Caenorhabditis elegans: one gene and its partners. The protein of the gene in region 3 purifies or fractionates together with the protein of the main gene of each other region. This does not show direct contact. Each region holds a gene or a part of one and is shown on either strand. Other genes may lie near its edges.

What was found.
Region 1: the proteins of tba-4 (region 3) and prp-17 fractionate together in Caenorhabditis elegans (co-fractionation; one large-scale study listed by BioGRID). This does not show direct contact.
Region 2: the proteins of tba-4 (region 3) and tbce-1 fractionate together in Caenorhabditis elegans (co-fractionation; one large-scale study listed by BioGRID). This does not show direct contact.

Annotation. Positions count from the first base shown.
Region 1 is NC_003279.8:10,934,297-10,942,722, forward strand, and holds prp-17 (Pre-mRNA-processing factor 17), read left to right. Parts: upstream 1-2,518; 5' UTR 2,519-2,543; coding exon 2,544-3,231; intron 3,232-4,102; coding exon 4,103-4,792; intron 4,793-5,217; coding exon 5,218-5,437; intron 5,438-5,855; coding exon 5,856-5,961; 3' UTR 5,962-6,225; downstream 6,226-8,426. Other genes in the region: tag-296 (Glycolipid transfer protein domain-containing protein), read right to left, coding at 605-690, 739-843, 887-1,251; F49D11.14 (uncharacterized protein), read right to left, coding at 2,076-2,096, 2,152-2,409; Y95D11A.3 (BZIP domain-containing protein), read left to right, coding at 6,389-6,524, 6,925-7,007, 7,287-7,514, 8,306-8,426.
Region 2 is NC_003282.8:8,291,948-8,299,344, forward strand, and holds tbce-1 (Tubulin-specific chaperone E), read left to right. Parts: upstream 1-2,742; coding exon 2,743-2,909; intron 2,910-3,172; coding exon 3,173-3,656; intron 3,657-3,738; coding exon 3,739-4,150; intron 4,151-4,200; coding exon 4,201-4,454; intron 4,455-5,083; coding exon 5,084-5,248; 3' UTR 5,249-5,336; downstream 5,337-7,397. Other genes in the region: K07H8.2 (SLC41A/MgtE integral membrane domain-containing protein), read left to right, coding at 818-932, 984-1,160, 1,214-2,098, 2,152-2,334; nprl-3 (GATOR complex protein NPRL3), read left to right, coding at 5,546-5,589, 5,680-5,759, 5,804-5,879, 5,934-6,372, 6,698-6,813, 6,868-7,119, 7,241-7,397.
Region 3 is NC_003280.10:10,915,565-10,921,754, forward strand, and holds tba-4 (Tubulin alpha chain), read left to right. Parts: upstream 1-3,141; 5' UTR 3,142-3,153; coding exon 3,154-3,846; intron 3,847-3,899; coding exon 3,900-4,420; intron 4,421-4,465; coding exon 4,466-4,598; 3' UTR 4,599-4,652; downstream 4,653-6,190. Other genes in the region: F44F4.9 (uncharacterized protein), read right to left, coding at 1-129, 175-205; F44F4.10 (PARP catalytic domain-containing protein), read right to left, coding at 371-737, 1,063-1,352, 1,410-1,538, 1,597-1,653.

The DNA of each region.
Region 1 (8,426 bases), on a different chromosome or scaffold from region 3:
GTGTGTGCGCCTTTAAAGATTACTGTAGTTCACAATAATTTTGAGGAATTTTCTTCCATTTTTTGAGTATTTTTTCTACGATTTTCACAAGAGAAACTTGAAGAAATCCATGTTAATTAAATTTGCGGAATTAATTCCGCAAAAACGAGCACACATTCAAGAAAATATCATATTTTTAGCTGAAATTCTGCATTTTTGGGTGATAATGTCGATTTACGTAGCCTGTGTACTCCCCGAGGAGAATATTTTTCCCAGTTTTTAACTGAAATATTTGATTTTGAACCATTTTCTCTCATTTTTAGTGTTTCAGATAGAATTGAAAGGGATTAATGTATTAATATATTGAAAATCAGGAATTTGTAGCTTTTTTTTCCATCTAAAACATAACTAAATTGAGAAGAAATCATCGAAAAATGATCTAAAATGAAGCTTTTCAAGCAGAAATTGTGAAAATTTCTGACAATTGATGTGTACTCTGTGGGAAAAATATTATCAGTTTGCGAAAATCGTCTAAAATCTGAAATTTCTTCTTCTCGCGGAGTACACGCGCCGCGTAAATCAACACATGGCCTAGCAATCCAGTTTTCTTCAGACTTTCCCATACCTTTAAGGTAGTCAAGCATTTTTTCACGTGTTGGGAGAGTGTATACGGCCACTTTGACAGCGGTACGAATGATCCATGGATGATGTCTGGAAATTAAAAATTCATAACATGAAATTCAGATTTTCAGAGCATACTTTGCCAGGGTTCCATCATAGCATTCCTTGCAAATCTTGGGAATGCTGTCATCGTTAGTGGCAGCCACTGCCGCATACATGAACTCGACGATGAACTCGAGAGCCCTGGAAATTCAAGGAAATTTTAAGATTTCTAGTCAAAAAGTACCGATTTAAATGTAAAATTGCCACTGCTCCACTCTCTTTTCCATTCTTCTCCATTGGTTTTTCACTGTGAACAAGAGCAACTACAGTTTTGTATCCTTCTGGATTCGCCGTATGAAGCTCCTTCAGAAGATCAATCTTCTCACGAACATCTTTCTCCACAAATTCAAAGATTTTTCCGAGCATTCCGATGAATTTGCACAGCTCTTCGTAGACTTCGACGAATGTCAGAAGCTCAACGTCATCCGGAGTCACTTCCGGGCAGTTTTCCACGTCACTTTTCTCCACGATAATGACGTCAGTGGAGAGTTTCTTCATTTGAGTGGCTACGAGCTTAATGCAGAAGGGTGAAGCGGTGTCTTCGGTCATTTTTAGCTGAAATTTTGGAATTTTATCGATTTTTACGAAAAAAAAATCACAAAAATAGAGAGAAAATAGCGAAAGGAGGCGATAAACTTTCATCAAATGTATTATAAAAGCCGTTGTTTTGATTTTAAACTGCTGATTCATAGTGAGCGCGTGATTCAAAAGCATCAGAAATCGCAGGAAAAACAAAACTGGAGACGACAAAATTATATTGAATTTATCTTTAGAAACAATGAGTAAAATTCATTTTTTTTAACGAAATTCCAGAACCAAATCTTCTTGAGTATTGACCAATATATTGGGAAATTATGTAAAAAATCAGCAATTTTTGATTTTCATGGATTTTCGCCGTATTCGGCGAATGTGAAAACGGAAAACATGCTTAAATAAATTATAAATTAGTATTTAAACAATTTGAAACATAAAAATCCGTTTAAAAACTTCTAAAACCGAAAAAAAAAAGCTGAAAAACGTGGAAAAAATTGATAAAAATTTATTTTTTCGATGGTAATGCAAGAGCGCCCCAATGCACACTCTCTTTTCGAATCATTCGAATGGCAATTTTCATTTATTTTTGTGTAAAAATATCGGTTTTCCTTGTTTTTTAATGCTTTTGCGCTGATTTTTGATGTAAAAGCTATTAGAAATTGTCTAAATTTTGTCGGAATGCATCGGGAACCATCACAATTTGGTTTTTTGGGTGTATTTCTCTTGTCTGAAAGTTTCCCGCTGGAGGTTAAACAATTGTTCCAAGAAATCGATAGAAACGTTTCAAGACATATTTAACGAAAAATATTTATTCTAAAAGATCAAGTACAGCACGAACATCAATTTTCCTCCGTTGAAAGCTGAAAATATACAGAATTTGTCAGATTCATTTATTTTTTCTCGGCAATCCCTCACCGATCCGCGCTTCTTTTTCCCTTTCTTCCGTCTCGCATCCGTCTTAATCTTCGCAATTTCTTGCTCCAAATGCCATTGAACAGGAGTCTCGCATGCCACGTCACCATTTGTCACGTCACCAACCGCCCGATACTGTAACCAAAGCGGTATCGAAGCGGAGACGACAAAGATGACGGCGAGCCCAATGTAGGACCAATAGAGCTCCGAAGTGTCCGTCTGATAGTGCTTGAAATAGTGTGAAACTTGATATTTGTCCATTTTTTGTTGTAGTTTTTCTCTGTATTTGAAATGAGAAATGTTAATTTTTTTCTTATTTTTCTCGAAAACGAACGTGAAATTTAAATTTAAAAATTAAAATTAGTTTTTTTTTCAGAAACTCAAACAAATCAAAAATGGATGCGCTACAAGCGTATGGCGGTAGCGACAGTGAACACTCAGATGATGACGCCAGCATGGATCAGGTCGCAAAAGGAAAATCATCGACATTGCTGGAAAGAGCCATAGTCACTGCTCCGGACGTTGAGTCGAAAAGTGCAATTCGACAAGTAGCGATTGTAGATCCAAAGACTAAAGAGATTAAATCAAATCCAAAATTTGATCAGCTCTTCAAGCCAGAATCTGGGCCAGTAAATCACTTTAAATCAGAGCAACAAAGATCACAAAAGAACACATTGACAGGATTCGTCGAGCCTGCACATCTCAATGAATTTCATTTTAATCGACAAATTCGAAGCTTTGATACTCTTGGGTACGCTCAGAATCCGACTGCCGAATCCGGTACAACTCATTTCGTGGGAGACGTCAAAAAAGCAGAAGCCGAGAAAGGAGTTTCACTTTTTGAATCGAAAAAGACTGGCGGGGAGAAGAGAAAACGAGTTAGAAATGATGATTCAGCAGATATTGATGGATATACTGGACCATGGAGTCGATTTATTGATGAAAAGACAGTCGCTAAACCAACACCAGAACTTCAGAAACAAATGGATGAAATTGTGAAGAAGAGGCAAGAAAAAAGCAGGCGATTCAAGAAAGAAAAGGAGGATAGTGAGCAAATGGCTGAAGAGAGCTCCACGCTTCATTGTACGAGTTTATTCTTGATTGTTTGGCTTGAAATGGCTCAAAAAGGCCTTTAAAGTTCCGGAAATGTGCTAAATTTAGCTGAAATTTTCCAATTTTCAGTTGATTTTTTGATCAGATTTGTGCTCTTTCTGACTGAAAATGTAATTAGATAAACAGAAAACGCTAGATAAACGTGAAAATGGAAGATTAATTGGATAAATTACGATTTTAGCTAAAATTGGCCAAATTTTAGAGCCATTTTATTAGATTTAAGCAAAATTTTAAGCTCATTTTAGCCATTTTCGAATATTTAACCCAATTTTTAAACGTTGCAGAGAAATTTCGTTTCTTTTTTTGAAATTTTTAACCGATTTTCAGCGAATTAACTGTTTTTCCGAGATTTTAAACTTTTATTTTTTATTTTTAGCGAAATTTTTTTGGCATTTCAAGGGAAATCTAAAACAATTTGTATTGATAAGAGAAAAAGATAGTTTTCCAAGATTTTTGCTAAATTTAATCTGATCATTTTAAACATTTTTAGTGAAATTTGGCCCAAGTTTGTTAACGATTTAAGATAAAATTTGCTATTTGTTGTTTAATTTCAACAATTTCAGCTCAGTTTAGCCATTTTTGGAATTTGATTCAATTTTTTAAAGAATTTTACCGAAATTTGGCACCTTATTTTTTAAATTATCTTGAAATTTTGAAACAATATTTCGCTTAACATGGATAAATTGCTTCGAAAATCGAAAATTTTGCATTCTGAATAAGAAATACCAATTTTAGAGTGTTTTCAGAAGATTTTTTTCGGTTTTCGAATGGTTCGATTTTTCGGTTATGCTCAAAAGTTTTTCTGGAAGTACATCAACTCTTCTAATAATTAATTTTTCAGTGAAAGAAGCCGAGGATTACCAAGGTCGCTCATTTCTTGTTCCACCATCATTCACCGGTGTCAATCTCCGAGAGGACTACGTTCCCGAGCGATGTTTCGTACCGAAAAAGCTTGTTCACACGTATCGAGGACATAACAAAGGTGTCAATTTCCTTCAATGGTTCCCGAAAAGTGCTCATTTATTCTTGTCATGCTCAATGGACACAAAAATCAAATTATGGGAAGTATATGATCGTCAGCGAGTTGTCAGAACATACGCAGGCCATAAGCTTCCTGTTCGTGAAGTTGCATTTAATAATGAGGGTACAGAATTCTTGTCAGCATCTTTTGATCGATACGTGAAGCTTTGGGATACTGAAACTGGACAAGTTAAGCAGAGATTTCATACTGGACACGTACCGTATTGCTTGAAATATCATCCAGATGATGATAAGAATCATATGTTTTTGGTTGGAATGCAGAATAAGAAGATTATTCAATGGGATTCAAGATCTGGAGAAATTGTTCAAGAATACGATCGTCACTTGCAGGCAGTCAATTCTATCACATTTTTCGACAAGAATCGTCGTTTCGCATCCACTTCTGATGATAAAAGTGTCAGAATTTGGGAATGGGAGATCCCAGTAGACACGAAACTTATTCAAAATGTTGGACTTCATGCGATTCCGACTATGACAAAGAGTCCTAATGGTAATTATTGAGGAACATTAAATTCAGGGAACGCGTATTGTGCAATGTATATGACGCGCAAAATATCTCGTAGCGAAAACTACAGTAATCCTTAAAATGATTACTGTAGCGCTGTTGTGTCGATTTACGGGCTCAATTTTCGGAACGAATTTCATTTCGAATAGTGAGCGATTTTTCATTTTTTCTCCAATTTTTCGCAAAATTGAAGGAAGCTGAAATACCGTTGCCACTATTTAAAAAAAAATATTTCAAAAATCGAGCCCGTAAATCAACACAAGCGCTACAGTAGTCATTTTAAGGGTTACTGTAGTTTTCGCTACGAGATATTTTGCGCGTCGAATATGTTGCTCAATACACATTCACAATGCTTTGTGCTCCTGTAATAAAAATACTTAAAGCTCAAATTTCTCTCATTTCTTTTCCAGATAAATGGGTTGTGGGACAATGCATGGACAATCGGATAGTCCTTTTCCAGCTTGTCGATGATAAGCTTCGATTCTCAAAAAAGAAGGCTTTCAGAGGACACAATGCGGCTGGATATGCGTGCAATATCGATTTTTCGCCGGATCAAAGTTTCCTAATCTCTGGTGATGCTGATGGAAAATTGTTTATTTGGGATTGGAGAACACACAAAATTGTTGGAAAGTAAGGTTTTCTATGTGGAAATTATTGATTTTTTGTTTAAAAAAAAGATGGAAACTGGTAAAAAATTTAAAAATCACGATTTTTCCGATTATTTTGCGCTTTAATATAAAAAAATGCTGAGAAAGCCCTGAATTTAATATAAAATTTTCTCTCATTTAATTAAATTTTTTCTAATTTAAAACATTCTAATTGAATAAAAAAGTGAAAAGTACCCAACTTTAACGATTTTTACCTTAAAAATTGAGTTTTAAACCCGAAAAATCCAAAAAATAAACTTTTTTTTCGATTTTAATGCGTCAAAATTTCTGAAAAAATCGTAATTTTTCAATTTTTCAATCGTTATTTTCAGTAAATACGCCACATTTTCCATTATTAAAATAAAAAACCCCAAAACCTCCAAAAAATGTATGATTTTCAGATGGAAAGCTCATGATAGCACTTGTATCGCAGCACTATGGCATCCACATGAAAAAAGCCGAATGATTACTGCTGGATGGGATGGTCTCATTAAAATGTGGAATTAATTGTTGATTTTTCCCTTTTTTCCCAAAAAAAAATTATTATTTTCCCAAATTTTGGCTCTTTTTCTCACGAGTTTTTGTCCCATCTCTCACATTTCCCTGTTCATTAAAAAAATTTTTTTTTTCGTAATAATGTTTTACTTTCTCCTGTTTCAATTATTTATTTTGTATCTTTGTTCATTTATTTGTTTTTTCTTCCAATTTTAAACCCTATTCTTACAGAACATTTCCGACACACGGAAATTGATAAAATTATTTTTATTTTTTAGCCTGAAATTTCAGTTTACCCAATTAATGGTTATCGACCAGATTTTATTTTAATTTTTTAAAGGAAAATTAGTTTTTTTTTCTATGAAAAAAAGTTATATATTTTTTTGGAAATTTATAACTCTTAAAAAAATTCAATTTTTTCAAATAAATAAAATTTCAGATGGCTTCTCAACCGGAGCTCATAATGGTTGACGAGCAAGTCGTCGCTTATGAAGTAGAAATTGATAGTTTTGATGTAAAATATGATGAAGAGGAACATGATGGTCAAGGGACACAAGATGAACCATTTTCTCATGGTACGGAACAGTTTTACGCTGAAAAATTCCAGAATTCCAAAAAATGAAACCTAAAATAGTGATAAAAAGGCGTTTTGAATATTAAATTGAAGAAAAAAATCAGCAAAAATTGTTCAAAATCAAGAATTTTAACGGAAAAGTGTAAAATCTTCTCCACGGGGAGTACACATGCTTCGTAAATCGACATATGGTCAATTTTAAAGTTTTGAAAATTGAAATGCCGGCAAAAAATCTTTTCTTGTTTTTTTTTCGCAAAAAATTCAATTTTCGAAAAAATAATTATAGAAAATTGCATTTTTTGACCGAAAAGTCAATAAAAATAACAGAAAAAATCGATAAACCGTTGAAAAATTTTTTTTTAATTCAAAAATTCAGAAATTCTTAAAATTCAAATTTCCAGATGAGCCAAGCACCAGCGGTTATCACCATCACTACCAATTTCCCAATGACGTGGATCCAAATGATGTTTATTTATTCGATGAGGTATCAATTATCCGAAATTTGGCGATTTTTGAGCCAAAACTACGGTACCCGGTCTCGACACGACAATTTTTGTTAAATTAAAAAAGGTGTGCGCCTTTGAAGGTTACTGTAGTTTCGAACTTTTGCTGATTTTTCATATTTTTTCGTTGAAAACAAAAGTATTTATTTGTTGAAAATCAGAAAATATTATCTTCGCGTCGAGACCTATTACCATTCTATTTTTGCCGCAAAAAACAAAATTTCCTTTAAAAAAAAGCTAATTTTTCCAAGTTTTTCCAGGAAACTGATCAAATTCATCAGCTCGACCCGAATCAACTCAAAAATAATGAAGAAATTGACGATGTCGAATATATTGATCAATCTGTGCCTTCCACGTCATCAATGATGACGTCACTGCCGTCAACGGTGGCTCCAGTTCAGCCAAATACGTATTACAGACGGAAATCTGGAGGCCCAACTGCAACTGGAAATGAAAAACCGAATTATAGGCCGTTGGCGTTCCAAACGGTTCGTAAAATAAAAAAAATGTCCATGTGTCGATTTACGCAGCTTCTCGTGTACTCCTCGAGGAAGAAATTCGCCAGTTTTCTGAATTTTATCATTAAAATTTCATGATCTCCTCGGGGAGTACACGAGAAGCTGCGTAAATCGACATGGAGACCAAATATTCGATTTATCGAGGTTTTTTCCTGAGAAAATCGAAGTAAAAATGTTTTAAAAAATGAGAGAAAACTATAAATTTATCGTAAAAGTATATATTTCAATGAGAAAAAGTTGTATTTTCCAAAAAAATAAAAATTATAGGAAATTATGAAAAAAATTTCGTTTTTCCAAAAAAATTTTTAAAAGGAGAAAACTAACTAGTAAGTTTATCAAAAAAAGTTTATTTCGGTTAAAAAAAATTATAAAAGACAATTTTTAAAAAATAAATAAATTATTGGAAAATACAAAAAATTTTGGATTTTTCAAAAAAAAAAGCCGAAAAATTGAAAAAAAAATTGAAGAAAATAGGAAAAACTATAAATGTATCAGAAATAATGAGGATTTTTATTTACAAATAAGGAAATTATAGAAAATTATGAAAAAAAATCGATTTTCAATTAAAAATAAAAGTCTAGAAAACTATAAATTCATAAAAAAAAGAAATATATTTCACAATCAGTGAGAGAATGTTTTTTTTTTAAATTTTAATTTAAAAAAAGTTTTTGAAATTATAAAAAAATTTGAATTTCATCTTAAAAATAGTTTTAGAAAAATTGAAAAAAATCGGTGTTAATAAATTTAAAAAAAAATTGCAGACATATGTGAATTCTGTGACCCAATATGGCCGCCGAGTAGTGACAAAACGAATTCACGAGTCAATTGATCCAACATCAAATTCAATTAATGAAGAATCGGAAATTCTGCAAAAAATTCAAA
Region 2 (7,397 bases), on a different chromosome or scaffold from region 3:
TTGAACAGACACATGGAATTGTTTTCAAAAATCATTCGGTCTCACACATTATGGAGGGAGAAACAGTTTAACCTCAACGCAAATCCGATTTGGTCGAATCGTTTCATCGCCTCTCCCTCTGCTCTCATAAAACAAATAGATTGAGAGTGGTGTTACACGAGTTTTCCATACCAAATGAGATCCTTTTTGACAGGTCGGAGAGAGAATTTATTTGTTTTGATAGAGACTCAAAACTAAAAGTTATGATTTTGCCCAGAATGTTATAATATTTCACGACAAGTATAACTTACAAATGAAGAAACGAAAAATGTTCTTCCTGTTTTTTTAATTTCTGAAAATCATTAGAAATTGGTTAGTTATTCTTTTTCGCATCGATTCCAGTTTGAGCTCATGTATTATCATTGTCAAAAGTTTGACGCAATTAAGCGACTATTCATGTTACATTTTTCTGCAATTGAGCTACATTTCGCCAATAATATAAGTTTTTTTTTAAATCTTGTTCATGATATATCAAAGTTAACACAGGTTTTTTTTTCTAATTTCTGACTAGAACGATCTTTGTAGGTACAAATTTCTTCGAAATTCTATAGCCAAAAAGTGATAAGATGATGTCTCAATGATTCTCGACACTTCTAACAAATAAATAACCTGATTCTACATTTTCGAGGTCATTCATACTTTGGTTTCTCATTTTTCTTTCCAGTTGAGTTGAAAGTCGTAGTTTTGATTCCGAACTTAAAATTTTCCTCATTTCTTTTACATTATGTAATTTTTTTTTGCAAAATTATATTCCAAACAGTATATTAATCCGATCCAGTTTTCGTTTCAGGAACGAAAATTCTTCACTAAAATCGAGGACGTACGACCATTCAAACGATCTTGTGAACATGTCGGTGATTCCTGCCGAATCGAGTTATGTACTCTTTTTCCAAGTAAGTTTTTCAGGTATTTTACAAAAGAAATTATGAACTTGCTGTTTTCAGGTTCTCTTTCCGTTTGCCGTCGCTGGTCTTGGAATGGTATTTGCTGGATTGGTTCTCTCAATAGTAGTCACATGGCCTTTGTTCGAAGAAATCCCTGAAATTCTGATTCTAGTTCCAGCACTGCTTGGGCTTAAAGGAAATCTGGAAATGACACTAGCCAGTCGACTCTCAACACTTGTGAGTTTACACTTGAGAATATTCAATTTTATAATTTTCTATCAATTTTTCAGGCTAACCTTGGTCATATGGATTCTTCAAAACAACGAAAAGATGTAGTCATCGCCAACTTGGCACTTGTGCAAGTTCAGGCTACTGTCGTCGCTTTCCTCGCTTCTGCTTTTGCCGCTGCTCTCGCTTTCATTCCTTCTGGGGATTTCGATTGGGCTCATGGTGCATTGATGTGTGCAAGCAGCCTAGCTACAGCATGTAGTGCATCCCTCGTACTATCACTGTTAATGGTGGTTGTCATTGTGACATCTCGAAAATACAACATCAATCCCGATAATGTGGCCACACCAATTGCTGCATCACTTGGAGATCTGACGACACTCACTGTACTGGCTTTCTTCGGATCCGTGTTCCTCAAAGCTCATAATACTGAATCTTGGCTCAATGTTATCGTGATTGTATTATTCCTTCTTCTCCTTCCTTTCTGGATAAAAATTGCCAACGAGAATGAAGGAACACAGGAGACTCTCTACAATGGATGGACACCAGTCATCATGTCAATGCTTATCAGTAGTGCTGGAGGATTTATATTAGAAACCGCAGTCCGAAGATATCATAGCTTGAGTACATACGGTCCAGTATTGAATGGTGTTGGAGGGAATTTGGCTGCTGTTCAAGCCAGCAGACTCTCTACTTATTTCCATAAAGCCGGCACAGTTGGAGTTCTTCCGAATGAATGGACTGTCAGTCGATTTACCAGTGTTCAGCGTGCATTCTTCTCAAAAGAATGGGATTCTCGATCGGCTCGAGTTCTTTTGTTACTCGTTGTTCCTGGTCATATTTGCTTCAATTTCCTTATCCAGTTATTCACTTTGACTTCAAAGAATAATGTGACACCCCATGGACCACTTTTCACCAGTCTTTATATGATTGCGGCAATCATTCAGGTAAGGTTTTATCGAAAATTTAAAATATATAATCAAAATTTCAAAAATTGCAGGTTGTCATACTTCTATTCGTTTGTCAACTTCTCGTCGCTCTTCTTTGGAAATGGAAAATTGACCCAGATAATTCTGTGATTCCATATCTTACAGCTCTTGGAGATCTCCTAGGAACCGGACTCCTATTCATAGTATTCCTCACTACTGACCATTTTGATCCAAAGGAACTCACTTCGTCATAATTTTAAAACGTTCAAACTTTTACCACATTGTATAACTGCATCCCCGTTATTATAGATTGGTTCTCATCCCCCATCTGCATGTAAAACAGTATTTCGCTAACCTAATTTTTCATTTTCACAACTAACGCACTTTCATCAGAACTCTAGTCAAACCCGATGAGTTGATTGATATCCATTTGCCGTCAAGCGCATAATTTTCTGTACATTGTGATCCATTTTTCTCTCTAGCTATTTTTGGTCATATCTAATAGACATTTTGCATTTTCCGCTAGTCACTATGTATTTTTTGGGAATAAATAAGTTAATTTGAACTTTTAAATTTAATTAATTTTTATCTCTGGACATCTTATTCCGCGAGTGGTCCAATAATTTTGACAAGATGGGCCAAGAAAAAAAACAATTTTCCAGATGGAAATAGGACAACGAGTTCGAATAAATTTCGAAGTAGCAACAGTTCGATATATTGGAGAAGTCGATGGATACGGTAGTCAACGATGGGTTGGATTGGAGTGGGATGATCCGACACGTGGAAAACATGATGGAATTGTGAGAGGAAAACGATACTTTCAGACGAGGTTAACAGACATTTTCATCAGAAATATATTCTATAGACATTTCTCATTCGAAACTGTCGGAAATGAATTCCAAATTGGGACAAAAAATGGAAGTGATCTCCGCTGTACACATTTTCATAGTTTTATGGCGGTCTCCATGAACTTTTAAATATACAGTGTCGGGGGATTATTTACCGTATTTAACACTCCAATTACTTTCCCTTAAAAATTCGTCACTAAATAATACAAACTAGTCACAAAAGTGTGAACTTTCAAATTTTCAGACATCCAAATGGAGGATCATTGATGAAGCATGAAATAGTACCGAAACCAACTGATCTATTGTTTGAAATCAAAGACAGATACATCGAGGAAGAGAGCGTCGAAACTGAAATTGAATTGGCGCAATCCAATAAGAAGATCGAGTTGATCGGAATGGATCAAACGGCTGCAAAACAAAGCAATATCGAGAAACTTATAAATATTGTTCTTGATAATCGATCAGTCGGCTTCCCACCTTCCTCGGATTCTCCCCAATTTATACTTTGTCGTGAACTTAATCTTTATGGAAATCTACTGTACAAATGGAAAACAGTTCGTCAGATTCTTGAATATTTTCCTAGAATTCAAGAACTCAACTTACGAAGGAATCGCATGCAATGCTTCAATGAAGAAGAAGATGATGATGAATCAGAAGGAGATGATCATGTTTATTCGGATAGTTGTAAGAAATTGGTCATTAGTGAATGCAATTTATCTGAGAATTCGGTAGGTTAAAGATTAAAGGTTAAAGGAATACCAATGAAATATTAAAAAAAAAGTGTCTAGAATTGCTATTTTTATTTTTCAGATCGACTCGATTCTTCTCCGGTTCCCCTCTACATCAGATGTCGTGGCGTTTGGTAATGATCTCACAAGATTCTCAGTTTCTGAAGCTGTTTCATCTCGTCTTACATCCCTCGATCTCGAAGATAATCCATTCAAAACACTAGATTCCATTCACGGAACTTTTCCGAATTTGACACAACTTTCTGTGGCGAATTGTGGAATTACGAGCTTAAACGGATTCGATGGTTCGATAAAATTCCCGAAACTCGAATATCTGAACATAAAAAGAAATTCAATTGTTGAATGGAAAAGTGTAAATTCCATTAGATCTCTTAAAAGTTTGAAACGGTTATTGTTCGATTGCAAAAAATTATCAACTGAAAAGGGTGTCCATGCCTATGAGATTGTAATTGCCAAGTTGAGCACTTTAATAGGTTGGTTTCAAAAATATTAAAAATTATTTAAAGTAGATGTTTTTTTCTAGATCTCAATAGGTTTGATGTGTCAGAAGTAGAACGAAGGTCTGCAGAAATTCGATTTCTGAACAAATATGCCGGTCTAAATGATAACGAAGATCATCAAGACGATATCAAAAGACTGATTGAAATTCATGGAGAACCGACACTTGATACAGCAAAAAAGGGCCTTGCGGTGGTGAAAATTAGAATTGAATGTGGAAATCGAGTGGAGACACGAAGGCTTCCATTGGGAATGAGCATACAGAAAATTAGAGATATGGTAGGCAAATGAACAATCATTATTATTTGAATCAAGAAGACATGCATGTACTTTTGAAAATGCAAAGAATTTAATTTAAAAATGTATTATCTTGATTCGATTATTTTGGGGACGCAGAAACGCGCTCCACTTCCAATTGAAAACGTAACGAGCAATGGGTCTCGCTAGGTATTTGACAGAAAACTGTAAAATCAAACGTTTCTAGTTTGTTTTGCCGATTTCGCTAATTTTAAAGATTTTTTGTTATGTTTTCCGTTGTTTCCAAAGATTTTTATGCCGAAAGTAATGAAATAAAAATTTGAGACAAAATAGAAAAAATCATTAGCATTTCATTTTTAAACATCTCTTCGACATAAAAATCATTAAAGAATGAAAAACGAACCAAAAAAAGACGAAAAATGTTTAAAAATAGGCGAAATCAGTAAAACTAATTGAAACATTTTAATTTACGGTTTTGTCGCCTAATACCTAACGAGACCCATAGTTTGTGGGCGGAGCATTTAAAATTAACCGTTGAGCGTGTTTTCAGATCAATGTCTAAAGTGTTTTTTTCTGCGTCCCCATATAGAGGCTAGTTTCATCAAAAAATAGAGGCTAAATACTTCCATCAAAAATTTTATTTTTTCCAGCTCGCTCGTCTCTTCAAAGTCCCCAATACATCGAAAATCCGTCTATACCTCGTTATGAGTGAAAAAGCCAAACAACACCGAATTGAACTAGAAAATCCGTTAAGAGAATTTGGACACTATTCACCTTCAGAAGATCGAGATATTCTTGTTGTGGAACATGATTGAATTGTTACCGGAAGATTATTTATTGCACAACTTATTGTTTGTTACAAAATATATGAGCTTTAACTTGCATAAAATTCCTTAATTTCTTATCAGCGAAAATGTCCGTTAAAAATACTATCCGTTATGTATCGATTTCAATACTATTTACAATTATTCCGATTATGGAATAAAATCAATCAGTGAAAATTTCACTTTTGAAAATTTCGTCATATGCATGGGTCTCGCAACTATTGTTGGTTTTTTTTGTACTGTGATCTACTATTGCATACCAGAAAATCTTTTTTGAATTTTTGAAGAATGTCAGCGAAAGAAGTGGATTTCGAGAGAGAAAGTCATCTTCAGTGAGTTTTTAAATTACTGAAAATCAATAGTTATTTGTGATCTTGTTGAATAAAGTTCAATTTATCATAAAAATAATTTTGAATTTTCAGTGCTGTGATGTGTTTTCTCACTGGACAAAGCGGCGAAAAGATTGTATCTATTTATCCACATCGAAAACCAGCTACCAAAGGTAATCTGAACAATATAAAATCTCAAAAAAAAAAACATTTTCAGCTCCATCGAAAGATCCACAACCTTCCAGCTCTAATCCAGGACAATGTGTGAAGCCAGTTCTTACAAGTGTCAAAGAGTTCGTTTAAATCCGAATATTTAAATTTAAATATTCAAACGTTCAAAATTTCAGTCCAAGTTATGGTTTCGGACGTGTGGATACAGAATTCGACATGTCTCTCGGAATGCTTGCTTATGTGTTCAAAACTCAAGAAATTGCGTGTAACGATGGGTTCGATATGAAGATCAATAATCAAAGATTCGTTGCATATCCGAAGACATGGAAAGCACGTGGTGAATCCACCAACTATCAGATTTCGATTGTTTTTGCACTTAAAAACGGATGTGAACAGCACACAGCGTCCGCATATCAAACACTTTCGAATAAGATTGCAGTCAGTTTGGTCATGCTCCAAAACTATTTTGGATTTCTGGAACGAGAGGACAAGTGGGCAGATAATGCTGAAGAACCTAATAAAGATCATCCTCTGGAAGAGTTCGCAAAGACTAGTTTCATAGTTCAACCATTGGCTGAAATGTTTGAAGAAGTGCGAAATCGAGGAAATATTCATGTAAGATTCAAATTCTTTTAAATTCAGATTTGTTTCCACTAAAGGTTCTATCAGATTTTGATTACAATATTTATTGTAATTTCGCGATATTTTTGACATGTCATTTCAAAGGAACACGCATTTTTCCCATGGTGGTCTTGTCACGATATCAGGGTGCCAGACTTTACAGATTTGTTCATTTGATGTAGAAAAAAAACTTTTGAAATTTTAAATTCTAACCTGTTCAGAAAAACAGAATTTATCATGTACCATTTAAGCACCTAGTAGTATCACTTTACGCGAATGGATGATAAAATTCAATCTAGACTTAAAAAAACATTTCCAGAAATATCTCATAAATTTTGTGGAACTTGGATTTTGTGATGAAGCACATGCCTTGACGAAGTTAAATGTAGTGCCGAAAGGAAGGCAGGAAATCGATGAAATCGTCAGAAAAATGAAGTGAGTTTTTCCTATAATAACCCATTTTTTGGAACTACAAAAACTATTTTTCAGACCTTATCACGGAATTTTGCTTCTCGAAGATGTGTGGCCAACTCCAGATGCAAATCCGATTGTTGCTAAACTTCTCAGTCATTGTAGTCCGGATCGTTCAATTTTGGATATGTCAACGGCGTCTGGAATCCCGATTTTTGAAGTTTTCATGATCATTCGACACTTACTGCAATGGACACGTGCTATTCTCATTTATCCTTTATGTAATACAAACATCTATACATCTGCAACAAGTCCACAACCTCTTGATAAGTGAGCAATTTTTTTGTTTTTTAAACTATATTTTATAAATTCAAAACAAAATCACTATTTTCATAGAACATTTTGATTAGTCAAGGATTTTATTGTTACATTGAAATTCAACAAGTTACAGAATGGCAGAGAAGTTCACAGCTCAATTCGGCAATACCATTCACTTGGCTGCCGGGCTGGCTCATTTCAATCCCCCAAAAACACTGGATACGTTTATCCGAAAAAACCTTCCTCTACACGAACAGGGAGTTCGTGCGAAGCTTGTCGTTGCTTTGCTT
Region 3 (6,190 bases):
CCGAGAGCTTGAACTGTCGAAGTCTTCTATTCTTCAAAAAGCTGTACAATGATAAGCCAAATATCACTGTCGAGATTACAAAAATGGCCAGAGTCGAGTAAAGGGTGAACATTGCCAAAGTATCCTTGACTGAATGAATGTATATATTTTGGAAGGAATTTAAAAATTGGATACCTGACATATAATCGGCGTTTGCTTGATTCATGATCAAAATAGCTACAATTTTGAAAAACTTGCTTTTTGAGAAGTGAAGTTCTAAATTTAGAAATAAAATATTTTGAAATTTTGCGAATACGTTGCAAATAACCACGCGAATAAATCTATTCAATTCATTCTACATAAAAAACTTTTATTCAACTCAAAATAAGTTTTATTCCAACCACCAAGAGAATTCCTCAGAGCAAATGTCTTCTTGTTTCATCTGAATTGATCCGAACGTTTTATAGTAGAGCACGAGTTGATTGATTGAGAAGTGTTTGCGAACGATAGGGTATCCACAATCCACCGAATACTGAACCGTTCCATTGTCTCCAGATTTCCGAACCGGGTAGTGACGATGCTTCTTGGTGGTGGTGTAGTAGACGAGCATCAATGGAAGAGTCGCCGTGAGATGATCAAGGCGGTTGCCGACCTCGAATTGATGGTACAAGGCGAACTCTCCACGATTTTTGACCTGAGCTTCAGCGTCCGCAGAGCTGTACACACCGATGTAGGCAGTCTGGGAAGCATGGTGGCATCTGAAAATAGAAATTGAAACTGGAAATTATTCGCGTTTAAATTTCATGCTGATGCTATAACTGCGAGTACCCTAATAAATTTGTGTCTGCAGTAAATTACGATACTACCTAGATGCGTAAAATTTGAAGCCCAGCCAGGTTCTGGCACGTGCGAAACTCAACTACAGTACCCGCGAGTACGGTAGGTTTTCTCTTTTTCAATTAACGATTCTCAATTTTTAACTGCGAAACACGCTCGGGTACGAAAATCAGGATGTTTTGTTCGTGCCAGGACCCACTATTTCGAGTGAAGATTTTTCGGGAAGCCATGCTCCTTTGAACTCACTTCACATTGCTCTCCAAAGATTCAGTCGTAACTGGACCAGAGAAGTTCGTGGATCCTTCAATAGAGGCCAAGCTCTCATATGTACTCTCTACTGGCTCCGGCTTCTTCTTCTTTCGCTCCTTACTTCCTCTTCGCTTGCCCTTCGACTCCTTCACCTCCAACTTTCTCAGCTTGTCCGCAAGCTTCTCAGCCACCTGTTCCTCTTTGCTTTGCGGCAGCAGAAGATTCACGTACTCGTCGTCCGCTGGTTTTTTACCGTTGGAGCACTGACTGTCTGGCTTCGATTTATTCTGAAAAAGAGCATGTTGAAGCTTCAGAAGTTTTAAACTCGAAATTTCAGAACTTACCAGGCTCAGCGGCTCGTAGATGCTGTTGTACGGAGTTCTGGAGTTCCCATCGTCCACACTTTCCGCTTGATTTTTACCATAAGGGCACTGACCGTTGTGCTTGCAACATCCATCCGGCTTTGATTTGATCTGAAAAAGATACTGTTAAAGCTTCAAAAGCTCAAACTGAAAAGCTTAAAAAACTTACCAAGTTCAGCGGTTTGTAGAGGCTGTTGTACGGAGTTCGTGAGTTCCCATCGTTCATTATTTGCACCTCTTGATTAGTTGGAACTTTGTTTTACAGAAATATCAAACAATGATTGAAAAATCCACAAAATCTCCCTTGTTGTTTTTTCTTCGTTTTACCGAGTTTATTGTGGTTGCAAGAATAACCTTTCGGCCACGTAACAAAAATTGTCTTACTTTTGTGTATATTGTTGTGTTTTTTTTTCAAGTTTAAAAAAAAAAAAAAGCATATTAGACTGTGACAAAGCTTGTATCACGTTCTGCCATTCAACTTATCCCCCGAATATTCATTTGATCTTTGCCTTTCCCCATTCAGTAATCGTGAAGCTGTCGAATTATTGATGGATCTAGCATTTATGAGCAAGCTAAGGATGATTCTCAACACGTGACTAATGACCATGTGAGCCTCTCCATTTTATAGTCTGGCAAATACATACACATACCAAAAACCCAATTATCTATGGGATTGACCAGCAAGTCGGCAAATTGCCGGAATTGAAATTTTCGGCAAATCGGCAAATCGGCAAATTGTGGTTTTGCACATTTTTTTTGAAAATTTCAAAAGTTCAATTTTAATCGGCAAAATTGAACGCAACCTATGAATGTTCCTACATCTATCTTGAAAAAAAAAATCAAAAAGACACAGTTTTAAGTGTTTCCATTTTATAAAAAAACTCCTCTAAAAAGTTCCGGCAAATTGATGTTCGATAAACGGCAAATTGGCAATTTTCCGAAAATCAAAATATCCGGCAAATCGGAAAACCGGCGAATTGCCGATTTGCCGAATTTGCAGCCCATCCCTGTTCCCAAAGCCGTTTGCACGGTTATTTTTGGCCTAATGCCGCATTGAAAAATATCTTCAACATGATTTATTTCAAGATAAATCAATATCAAAAATAATACCCGGAGATCCACTAGTCTTGGACAAACAGTGCTCGAGGATCATTTCTTGCACTCCGGTTATATCAAACGAGAATTCTCATTGACCAGATAAAAATTCCTTTTTTGTGCATTGATCGGCATCATTGAACGTTAACCATGAAAAAGAAAACGATGCGACAGAAAATCAATCAACTGCAAGATCGTCAAAAAATGCGATTGAGTCATCGTAAAAACTGCATGCGTGGTGTCACAAATGCATGGTAGCTGTAACTATTTTTTTGAAGCTTCTGAACAAGAAATGAAAATCCATAATTAAACGTGTCATTTTATAATTTAATCGACACAGCAGCAACCACACATTTCGTAATGTGTCTCTCCACCTATCATTATTACTTTTCGTCCCCTTGCTTTTGCACTTACATCGACCATTTCTCATTTTCTCTCTCCACTGGCGCAACACTATTTCCCTATTTCTTCATAGTTCTTCTTGGCCTCGCCGCTGACCACTATTGTCCTTCTCTTCTCCCCGTAGTATACATAACGCCCGTATATCTTTGCGTTCCTACGTTCTACGATTTTATAGTTAATTTTACTATTCTGAACCTAAATTTCTTTCAATTTTCAGAGAAAAAAAACCATGCGTGAGGTAATCTCCATTCACGTTGGACAGGCGGGAGTTCAAATTGGAAATGCTTGCTGGGAACTATACTGTCTCGAGCACGGAATTCAACCCGATGGAACTATGCCTTCTGAGCAACAAAATGAGGGTGGATCCTTCACCACGTTCTTCTCAGATACTGGAAATGGACGCTATGTTCCGAGATCTATTTTTGTGGATCTTGAGCCAACAGTCGTCGACGAGATCCGCACTGGAAACTACAAGAAGCTGTTCCATCCAGAACAAATGATCACTGGGAAGGAAGACGCTGCTAATAACTATGCTCGTGGTCACTACACCGTTGGCAAGGAGCTCATCGACACTACTCTTGACAGAATCCGTCGTCTCGCCGACAACTGTAGTGGTCTTCAAGGATTCTTTGTCTTCCACTCCTTCGGTGGAGGTACTGGATCCGGATTCACCTCACTGCTGATGGAACGTTTGTCGGTTGACTACGGAAAGAAGTCGAAACTAGAGTTTTCAATCTATCCAGCTCCACAAGTTTCCACTGCAGTCGTTGAGCCATACAACTCGATCCTTACTACTCATACTACTTTGGAGCACTCCGATTGTGCATTCATGGTTGATAACGAGGCGATCTACGACATTTGCAAGCGAAATTTGGATGTTGACCGACCGAGTTACACCAATCTCAACAGAATTATCTCTCAGGTTTCGCAAAATACTTGTTTTAATGTATCCTATGTGTTTCCTTTTCTTTTCAGGTTGTGTCTTCAATCACCGCTTCACTCAGATTTGACGGAGCTCTCAACGTGGATCTCAACGAGTTCCAGACCAACTTGGTGCCATACCCAAGAATTCATTTCCCATTGGCCTCTTACACTCCATTGATCTCTGCCGAGAAGGCATATCACGAGGCTCTGTCTGTCAATGACATCACCAATAGCTGCTTCGAACCAGCAAATCAGATGGTCAAATGTGATCCACGCAACGGAAAGTACATGGCTGTCTGTCTTCTGTACCGCGGAGATGTTGTGCCGAAGGATGTGAACACTGCAATTACTGCCATCAAAACCAAGAGATCAGTTCAATTTGTGGATTGGTGCCCAACTGGGTTCAAGGTTGGAATCAACTACCAACCACCAACTGTGGTTCCAGGAGGTGATCTTGCCAAGGTGCCACGCGCCGTGTGCATGCTCTCCAACACTACGGCTATCGCCGAGGCCTGGTCCCGCCTGGACTACAAGTTTGACTTGATGTACGCCAAGCGCGCCTTTGTTCACTGGTAAGATTCGAGTTGTTTGAAACACAAAATATCGATTATTTGCAGGTACGTCGGAGAAGGAATGGAAGAGGGAGAGTTCACTGAGGCTCGTGAAGACTTGGCAGCTCTCGAGAAGGACTACGAAGAGGTCGGAGCTGATTCCAACGAGGGATTGGAAGAAGACGGAGAAGAGTATTGAAATGTTCACTGTTAAATACTTATGTATCATAAAGTGTTTAAATTATTAACAATTGCGAGTTTGATTGGAGGAGATTTTTTTACAAAGAAAGGGGGAAAATGGCCTATTCCATTCAATCCCAAAATGAGAAGCTTTTGGAATGCCGTTTTTAAATGCTGAAAGAACACAAAATTCGCAATGAAATGGCTACGGGAATTTCTTTACAAGTTATTTTGAAACCAGATATACATTTTCAAAGTTTATAAAATCTACTAATTTTGCATATAAATGGTCAGTTTCATTCCATTTCATAATGTGCTTTAAAAGGTATGGCCGACGTCACACTTTATAGTGTCTTCCTTGTCATTGTGCTGCTCAGCCCGCAGAGTTCCAATCAGTTTTCGGTAAGGCTTATCACTGGAAACTCCTAAAACCATGGGTTTTTTATGTGAACATTGTAGGGGCAAATACCTAAACTTTTCCTTCTTTTGATTTTAGGCTTTCAATGACGTCTGGAAGTGATATTTTTCGTAGTTTCAACACGCTCGGCGGACCAAATAACCTCATAAACTCGCTAAACGGAGTATCTTCAAACTGACATATCTCAAAAAACACACTTCTAGAAAGCAATTGTTCAAACAACAAAATAATCAGAAACATTTTTTCTATTTATTACTTTAATTTTTATTTTAATACACCAGCTATTTGTAGAGTTACACAGAGTCAAAGCCATTTTCCCAGAAATCATGAAAAATTTTGAGAACTCTTTTGTTGTGCCCGTCATAACCCAACGTTCATTGAATTGCAGAAAAAACTTTTCATGAGTTGTATGTAAGAACTATTTCTCTACATTTTATCAGTTTTAAGATTTTTGATATTTTCATGTTCAGCCAAGTTACAGACCGTTTTCTGAAAAAATCCAATTTCGCTCATAAAACTCTTCATATCTAACGTATCGACTTGAAATTTTGAACAATGATCTTTCTTTTGAGGTCTCTACAATGTCCTAAAAAATCTTTCGAAAATGTTGGCTCATCTCCAAAATCGTCCTCCGCTCCAAAATAAGAAATGGGACTTTTGCTTTTCGAAAAATGGGCGAAAAAATTAAATTGCGATTTTTGGGTCGAAAAATATATTTTTAGAAAGCTGAGAACACGCCATTTACGAATTTCATGTTCATTTTAGGTGATTTCTTCTCTGAAACGACCTAAAAATTAAACAAAAAGAACATATTTTTAATTCTCACGTGTAATTATTTGGTAATTTGCTCAGTATTTCAATTGTTTTAATGCAAATTAAAAAATTAAACGTGAGAATTAAAAATATGTTCTTTTTGTTTAATTTTTAGGTCGTTTCAGAGAAGAAATCACCTAAAATGAACATGAAATTCGTAAATGGCGTGTTCTCAGCTTTCTAAAAATATATTTTTCGACCCAAAAATCGCAATTTAATTTTTTCGCCCATTTTTCGAAAAGCAAAAGTCCCATTTCTTATTTTGGAGCGGAGGACGATTTTGGAGATGAGCCAACATTTTCGAAAGATTTTTTAGGACATTGTAGAGACTTCAAAAGAAAGATGATTGTTCAAAATTTAAAGTCGATTAGATATGAAGA